Drosophila melanogaster: one gene and its partner. The protein of the gene in region 1 interacts with the protein of each later gene in a pairwise test. Each region holds a gene or a part of one and is shown on either strand. Other genes may lie near its edges.

Evidence for each region.
Region 2: the proteins of CG34377 (region 1) and CG14005 interact in a two-hybrid assay, tested with the Drosophila melanogaster proteins (one large-scale study listed by BioGRID).

The regions. Positions count from the first base shown.
Region 1 is NT_033777.3:22,320,943-22,326,148, forward strand, and holds the start of CG34377 (uncharacterized protein), read right to left. Parts: upstream 3,153-5,206; 5' UTR 2,783-3,152; intron 2,438-2,782; exon of another isoform or gene 2,423-2,437; 5' UTR 2,197-2,422; intron 1-2,196.
Region 2 is NT_033779.5:5,799,750-5,803,757, reverse strand, and holds CG14005 (uncharacterized protein), read left to right. Parts: upstream 1-1,782; 5' UTR 1,783-1,871; coding exon 1,872-2,086; intron 2,087-2,149; coding exon 2,150-2,888; 3' UTR 2,889-3,241; downstream 3,242-4,008. Other genes in the region: CG7239 (uncharacterized protein), read right to left, coding at 1-986, 1,046-1,353.

The DNA of each region.
Region 1 (5,206 bases):
TCGGCCAGCCCACGTTTTCCGTTTGTAATTTGCAATTTCCTGGACTCCTTCACCTTCGCCCTCAAGAGTATATATCCTCTGCTATAATTATGAGAAATTCGTAAGCCCTGAAGCGTGTGAAAATTCGCAAATGCATCGCGCTTTCCCCGATTACCACCATTGATTATCGCCTTAGCTTTCTAATTACGAAACTTTCCAAAGGGGATTAAGTCCAACTCCTGTGCCACTTACAGCCCACTGTGCGAAAGTGCTGAAATTAAACAGAAACAGAAGCAGCACTCACATTCGCAGATAAACATAAGCCGGCTCGACAATGGCCCCATTGTTTATGGCTTTCACATAAATTTTTATGCAAAATTTCAGCCAGAGTAATTAATTTTAATATGAAAGCCAAACATGCGCGCTCTAACAATTGTCATATAATTTGCCGTCTAGACAGTGGAAATTTAGTATTTTCAATTAACTGCAATGGCAACTGAGCGCTGCAACCTGCCACCCCCTTAACCCATTCCAACCCTTAACACCCCAAAGCACAACAATGCACACAAAAAGGCGCACACTGATTATTTCCACGACGAGGGCAGGAAGTGGAAAAAGCGAGCTGCAGCTCCTCTGACTGCTGACTGCCATGTTGACATTGTTGGCTCAAAAAAAAAAAAAAATAGAAAATATACGGAAAATAAAAACAACTAAATTCCGGAGCAGGCAAAGTATGATTTCACTGCAATCCGACGGTTTAGTTCACTCGTAATGCTAATGAATTTAAGATATCAGTACATAATTATTAAAGATAAGTTTTTTAATATTTAGCTATACTAAAAAACTCAAATCTTAAATTCACGAGTGGCAAACAAAAGTTTTAGATATCCTGGATGCAAATATATTCCCTAGTTGAACGTGCACCCATTGTGCAGGGGAAATCAATCCACTGAATGGCTGAATTCGATGGGAAAACAGCGAAAATGAGCCGGGATACCCCTGCTCGGACGCCCCTGCTTGCAGCCTTGAATCCGGAATATCAGGCGTGCAGCAGCAGGCAGAGCGACGTCCTCAAGGTTGGCAACAAAATTGCACTGCCAGTCACTCGAAGGGGTGTTCACAATGGTGAAGGGGGTGGTGGGTCACGAATTGCAGAAAAAATGAAAGGGGTAATGGGAGGGGGGGGGGGTCGGGTTGCAGCCTCGTTCGTGTGCCAATGTCAGTGCACCTGGCGCTGCACTTGGCACTCGGCATTCACTTCGAGTCGCAACTCAACTCGCCTCAACTCATCTCATTTCAACTCGACTGGCTGCTCCCTTTCCCAGCCAACAGTGCGTATTGCGGTGGCCGGGAAGCCTTACAAAGGGGGCATCCCCACCCATAGGCTTCAGCTTCGATTTCACTTTTTTCCTTTTTATTTTTTTGGTTTGGTCCCCAGCTCTCGCACTCGTTTTTTAATTGAAATTTCATTTGCCCCGTTTGTTTGCACATAATTACGATTCGGGGGACTTTTGTCGCTTGTTATGCAAATTTAAGGCCAGCTCATCCCGCGCTGAATGAGTGTGAATAGACGGAGATGCATGAATGCCCAACTCGAGCTGCATTCTCATATTTTTCATATTTATTCTTTTCGGCTTCGCTGCGGTTTCATTGTGGTGGGAATGGCCCAAAAAGGAATGGTTTTAGACGGGCTGAATGGAAGAAGACAGCCTCCAGTCAGCTGAAGCTTCATTCAGCTTCCAGTTTCTCGATGGTTAAAAAATGAGCACGAAACTAAAATCCTTTCAAATAGTGAACTCGTCTGGGAAGGCTGCAAGAAGCTGCAGACAAGTTTTCCAAATGCATCCATAAACTGTGCTACTTGCAATGTTTTAAGTATCAAAAATGTCTCAGATTATAGCAAATTTCAATGAAGCGAAGCGAAATTTGTAGTTCTTTGGTTGGTAAAGGCTTTCGGTATCTTTCTGATGTTAAAATTTGAATATTTACATATTACTATTTTAGCACTAGCACCTTAATTGGCGCGCACTATTTCAAACTAATAACCTATTTAGGCAATCAACTGAATAATAGTTATCAATCTGATATGAAGCCGTGGATTAGTACGAACCCCAGTCGTACTTCCCCACAACGCTCCGGAAATCCGGCAGTTAAACCCATTGACTGCTGATTGAGTAATCAACGAATCGAGACCCCGTAATTCCGCAATTTACTTACATTGTGAGCCGTAATCAGTAGGTGGATCGGCTGTGTCCTGTTCGCGGCTCTCAAGACATGCAAACACTCGCGCACACTCACAGCCAAGTTAAGCGGTTCGGAAGTCGCTATATATAATCAAATGCTGCCGCACTTCATTTGCCGGGGATTGGCCAACTGCTCCGTGCCCGCAAAGACATAATCCCAATGCCACCCACTTGTTGGGGACTCGACCACTGGATAAGTTCTACACGGAAGAAAACTAATCGAATTGTATTGGCCAATAGGTACTCAATGCATCTTGAGTTGCATTAATCTATCAGATCTCATTCAATGTAAGAAATCAAATTTTTGTTCTTGATTAAGTCTTTTTAAGTAAGCAGTAAGTTTATTAGAATATTTTATAAATAATATAAAGTTACTGTAATATTTTTTGTATTATATATTTATATTGAGCTAGCGCAAAAAACACGGACTTAGACCATTAAAAGGAAACGTAACATCAAACAACAAACAAGATTAAGAAAATGCTGTTACTTGCTGTTACTGAACAAGCACTAATATTTTGTCATTATCTTTAATGATTTTTATGGATGTGAAAACATACCGAAAGGGGTGTTTTATTTAGCTTTCTCTCAGTGTAGAGCCTGCCGATCACACACGCACAATTGCCGTTCGTTTGATTTACGACATCGGATTTGAAATTCCCCGCCGTTGCCTGCGTTTTTTCTTCTAACCAATTTTTTTTTGGCCAGAACAATGGCTGGCGAAAACGCGCGCAAAAACTGTCACCGGAAGTAGGTTCGCCAACCGGAAACGCGGAATGGTGCAAAATGGCGGGCAAATTACGCGACAAGCGGCAGTTTGCTGCCCGGCTGATTGCAAGGCGTACTCAGTGAGACGGCCAAAACGAATAGGCGAACTGCAACCGTGCACCGTGCAACCGGGAGCGGAGTAAAAAAACGCAACCAAAGTATGCAAAGCACGCGAGCGTACTGTGGCACCATCAGCAGAAACACGGCCTCCTGGGCCTGGGTTCTTGCCACTGCCTCAGTTGCCTCTGTTGGCTATGTTGCCTCTGCCGGTGCCGTTGCCGGAGAATCGAGAATCGGGCAGAGCAGAGCAGTGCAGTGCAGAGCAGAGCAACTGAACTGAACTCCTCGAGGAAGGCCGCGCCGTGAACATTAACGCTAGCGTTAACGCTAACGATAGGTTGACGGATGGGGGTAATCGGGGGTCTGGCTGGTTGCAAGTGCCCCGTTGTAAGCGATACCCAGGAGGGAGGGTTTTTTTTTTTTTTTCAACCCAGCTTTTTATTTAACTCTTCTTTTTGCGGGCCATGCCGTGCATTCTCTTTTTATTCTCGCTGCAGCCACCCCGAAGCGGAGCTGAGGCTTCAGCCTAAGAGCGGAAAGTAGGTGAGGCACATGAGCTCGACGGCTGGCAGGATGAGGCAGCGGATGAGGGGCAGGATGAGGGGCCCGGAGAGTGTTTACCCCGGCTTAGACGGCTCTGACAGGCCGTCTGGGCTCCAAAGCATGAATGAGTTGTGGAAGCAAATGAAGTGCCACGCCAGCCGACGTTGCAACCCGCAGCGTATTTAAATATAGCAGAGAACAAGCAGCAGCACCAGCAACAGCAGTGGCAGTGGCAGCGGCGGCAGTGCAACGCGTGCAGCAGCAACGGAAAAGGCAGCAGCTGCGCAGCCAGCAGAGACCAACGCTGCGATGCACTGGGAGAAAAGAGTGTGCTCTATGCACAATATTATTGCGTTCCTTACAGCAATACTTTAAAGCTTTATATATGGAATGGAGTGGCAAAGCTTAAGAGAATAGTTGAGTGAAAAACTGTAAAGAACCTTGTCCATTGAATACACTTTTTAGTAAAATATATATATATATATATACTTCATTATAGGTATATATGTTTCAGTGTACCAGGACAGGCGGCAGACGCTCACAGGCTATCATGTCACCGCTGGCGTCCTCATTTGTCTGTTTGCCTTGTGTGCTTGTGCAATTTTTTTATATTTTATTTTTAATTTCTTTTTTTTTAATTTTTGAGCCAGACTGGCAGTCAGTCAGTTTAGTTGCTAGCGCGCCTGGGCATATTTTGTGCTTCATCATCTCGGCCGCTGATGATGACACATGCGAATGACTGCAAACAAATCCAGGGAGCGGCAGTTGCTGCTGCTGCTGCTGATGTAGCTGTTGCCACTGCAGACTGATATTGCTGCTGTCATCAGCAACATTTCGCTGTGGCAGCTTCGCTGAAACTTTCTCATGGAGCGGGCGACTGTTTGCTGATGCAGCCAAATGCGAAAAGCGGGTGTGCGCCACACCTGCCGACCTTGGTGGGTGGGTCTAGACCCGGGTACCAGAACTCCCACGGTGGTTTAATCAACGAATTACGCCGGATTGGAGTGTTAATAATGCAAATCTATAGATGGCAACGCGGACTAATCAGATTGGATGCAGAATATTGCAGGCTTTTTGGAGGGATGTCATTAAAAAATAGAAAACACGGGTAAATTCGTGTTTATTTGATAAGATATCTTGGAAAGGGAATTAGGAATGTTAGCACATTTCCAAATTTCCTGCACTTTAAATGCATATTAAGGCATTTAAAAAATTGACGATGCAGATTATAAAAATTAAAATAATAAAAGGCTTTATGTGGGCTTAAAAAAAAGGTAATCAAAGGAAAATTAAAGAACAATGCCCCAAGAAGTTGTGATGGTCATGGATCTGGGGTCTGGCTGAGATTCCGCATAGACGGAATGCAGGGCGGAAGGCATGTCCCGCTTATGGGCTGTCCGGGGCACGTACTTGCGGTGGCTGCCACATAATGAGAGCTGGCTGCGGCACAAACGTGCCATAAACTGTGGCACGCCCCCTTGGCCCCAGCAGACCGCTTCCACCGATGAATATTCCATGTGGCATGCGTTGACAAAGCATTCGGGCCTCGTCATCTGGAGCATGGGGGCATATCATATAGGCAAAGTTTTTCCTTTTCCCAGCACACACATTGT
Region 2 (4,008 bases), on another chromosome or scaffold:
ACTTGGGGAAGAAGGTCTGCATGAGGTCGACCTTGCGTTCCTCCAGCTCCAGTCGCTGCCGACATATCTTGGTTTGTTCGTAGAGCAGCTGGTTCTTTCGCCGAACTTCCTCCATGTAGAGCGCCTCCAGCGAGTCTGCGTGTGGGGGATTCACAGATCCGAATGGACGACCGCGCTTCCGTGGCACAGGGACGGGGGAGGCGCCAACGACGGCGTTGTTGGTGGTCGAAACTGGAGCTGCAGCCGGAACCGATGCCGATACCTGTGCGGGCACCGGCGCTGGCATGCCTCCGTTTGCGTTTGTGGCCACGCTGATGGTGTTATTGCTGCTATTGATATAGGCTACCGCCGTTATGGGCTGATGGTTGACGGTCGATGTGGCCGCAGTGCTAATAACGCTGTTGTTATTGAATTGAGCCGGCTGCTGCTGAAATTGCGACTCATAGTTTGTTTGGAACTGCTGCTGTTGTTGCTGCTGCTGCTGCAGTTGTTGCTGCTGCTGTGGCGTCTGCAGCTCGAGCAGCTGAGCCGGCTCGGCTGGGGAATACTGTTGCAACTGCTCCTGAAAGGGAATGGAGCGGTACTCATCGTCCTCGTACTCCTGCTTGACCACCTCGTCATACTGGTCCGTAAACAGCTCCGTGTTGAAGCTAACTCCGCCGCTGGTGTTGTTGTTGTGGCTGCTGCCGTGATTGCTATTGCTGCTGCTATTGTAATAGGTGGCAGTGCTTGGCTCACTGGCCAGTCCCAAGCCTTGCTGCTGCTGCTGCTGAACGGATTGCTGCTGTGGCTGCTGCTGCAACTGCTCTGCGGACGCATCATCCCGGGGCGGTGTCATGTCGCGGTTGTTGAGCAGCGCCTCTGGCGGCAGCGGATCGGCGTTCTTGGGCCTGTGCAGGTTCTTCAGGATGCGATTGATAATGTCGTACTTCTTCCAGCGCGTAGCATAGCTCGAAGGATCCGCCTGCAGCTGTTTTTTGACTTGCCTTAAAAGGGAAACCAGTCAGTTAATCCGGTATAGCAAAGTGTCTAAACGGTTACCTACCTGAACTTGGCCCTGGTCTGGTTGACCTTCATCTGGATCTCCTCGGGCTTCACGTCCACGGCGAACCGGTCGCGCAGTTCCTCGGCCCACCGGCCAAAGAAGATGGTGTTCTTGCCGGTGCGCGTCAGGCGCCAGTTGTCGCGTCCCCAGATCTCGTACAGGCGCTCCTCCTCGCTGGGCGTCCAGTAGCGACGCGCCTTCTCCTTGCCCCTGCCATCGAGCAGCTCCTGACCACCGCACATGCCTAAGTCCTGCTCGGCACCGCTGCCGCTTCCGCCCGCGTTCAACGCCAGCTTCTCGTAGTCCATCGACTGCTCTGCACCGGCTCCTGATCTGCTCCCGCAGATGTATCCCTGTAACGTTGCCTTTGGATATGCGATCTCCACTCTAGTTACACAATGCGACGCTGTGGTAGAATGGTTGAAGCCAAGTGCAGTTTTTCCGCACAAAAAATCAACAACAGCTCTGATACACAGAAGAGTGTGACCTTGCGGCGCGAGAACGCCGAAAATGCCTAGATTCCTGAGCGAATTTCCTGAAATAAGTAATATAATAAATTTCATTTAGTACCATATCAGTATCATGTATATACTACAGCTGGGAGAATGGCTTTGGGGCTAGTCCAATATTAAGAAATAAAATTATTAAGATATTAGATATATCTTTTCCAGATTTCAATAGCTCTATAAGAAAATTTAAATCATTGATGGTATTTTTTGGCGCCTGCCGCGCTCAAGCGTTATTGGTATTTCCACGCCTGGTCCTTGGTCACGTACGAAAATGTTTGGATTATAACGATTCCACAAAATTGAAATTAGACCGGAATATGAGCGGCCAGAAGCACCTGCGATTGCGCTACTACACGTCGCTGGAGGAGGCCATGCTACTGCGGCTGTGGCGCGAGCACCTGCATGCCATACCCTCCTACACGGACAACCTGCCCATTTTCCGGGAAATCGCGCACGGCCTGCAGCAGAACGGAGTTCGGCTCAATAAGCAGGAGGCTCGCCGGCGCATCAACAGCTACCGCAACAAGTATTTGTGAGGCGCAGCAGCGGCTCGGGTCAGTTCACAGTGCTAATATCTCCTTCCACTTCTCTGCAGGAACGATCGCAATCGCGTGGGGGGCAATGCGAACTTCGCGAAGGATTGGCGTCTCTACGCGCTGATCGATTGCCTCTTCTGTCCTGCCTGGCCGTCGTCCGCCCTCTTCCATTTCCGCAATGTGCTGGAGACGATCCGTGCGACAGCACGTGTGGATTTGCCCGCCCTGCCGCCACTGCTATACACTTCGCCCGCCCAGCTAAAATTTGAGCGCGACTCAGAGGGATGCACCTTCCTCGATGCCCAGCCCCTAGTTCCCGCAGTAGTGAAGACAGAGCCTCTGCCAGACGAACACCACCAGCTGGTGAATATTGAATACAAGCCCACAGTGACGCAGCTGGAAAACGCGGCTAGCCACTACCTGGAGAGAGCTACTGCCGAAAGTGTCATTCAGCGGTCGCCTCTCACGCCTGCCAACCACATCCTGCCCGAGGCAGAGGATGCGCCATATGGAGGCCACACCAACGGTGGCCAGACGGACGCCGAACGTTCGGCGAGCAAAAGGAGACGAGGGCGACGTAGTATACTGCCGCACTCGGGCAAGATCACAATGGCAATAGTGGAGGCGCTGCGCAAGGAGAACAGTTTGCTCGAGCAGCAGAACGACGCCTGTCTGCAGTCGCTCGTGCGCAAGGAGAAGCAGTTCCTGGACATGAAACATAACTTTCTGGCGTATATGGAGCGGCAGGAGGCAGTGCTGGCGTTAATAAAGCAAACGACCATCAAGCTGGAACCATGATCCCGACTACTAGCACCACGTGGTAAGGACATTGTATGACAGCTTTAGCTTTAAGTTGGGAATAGAGTCGCGGCGCTCGACCCTGTGTATGTTTTTCAATTCGTTCCTTTCTCAGACACAGATGTCTAATTCACTCGACGTACAAAGCAGCAGCATAGCGAACCGAAGATATTATAATTTCTCAAACGTTCTTTTTCTAGCGTCATAAGTGTAATGTGTATGAACAATCGTCTGTGCAAAAGATCAATCTATACGGTCTTTAGTCTTAAATTAAAAACATTGTCTTGAGGCGAACTTGTATGGTAGCTACATTTTTAAAAAAAAAACTAAAACTAAACAACTGGCTAAAAAATAAATTAGATGAAAGACTATTATACTATATATATATACTATACTATATAGACTATACTATTATTTCTATTGTTACAGAATATCTTGTTGATATAATAGTAACGAAATCAAACATAAATTCAAATGAAATCAGTGTGAATAGCCTATTAAGTTTTGCATTTCGATCAACTTAGCGTGTGCAACAACCGCCGGTTATTTGTTCATCAACCCCTGCTGCAGCAGTGTGGCCGTAGCCGGAATGTGAAAATATCCGCAAACACCGCATGCGGACCTCTCTTAGTCGCTCTCTTAGCGCACAATGCGCTCTCTGCCAACCGAAATGCCACAGACTTTTTGTAGGCTTTTCCACTTTTTCGATTTCGAGACTTCGAGCGAAACGGTCGTGTTTTTCGCGTGTGTGCGGGTGGCGGACGCGCGTGCCAATCGGAAAAGGCCTTTAAATCAAATGAGTGGCTCGCCAAAGGAGCGCATCAAGGTGTGTGCGATTGTATCGAGTGTGTGTGCTTGTGCGGTGCGGAGAAAGCCAGCCAGCCGCCAGTCTGGGATAAAAATAAAGATTAAGATTGGGATAAAACAAACGAACGGCAGCGAAGTGCACAAATTGCCGTGGAATCGGGGCTAAAGAAGGAAAAACAAGTGTGCAGCACACACGGATTGAAATGTTTGCCAATGTGTGCGAGCGTCACCTAAATAAACAACAAAAAATTCGATTTGCAGCAAAGAGAGCGAGCGAGTGAGAGAGCGCGAGAGTGGGAGGCTGTTATTGTTG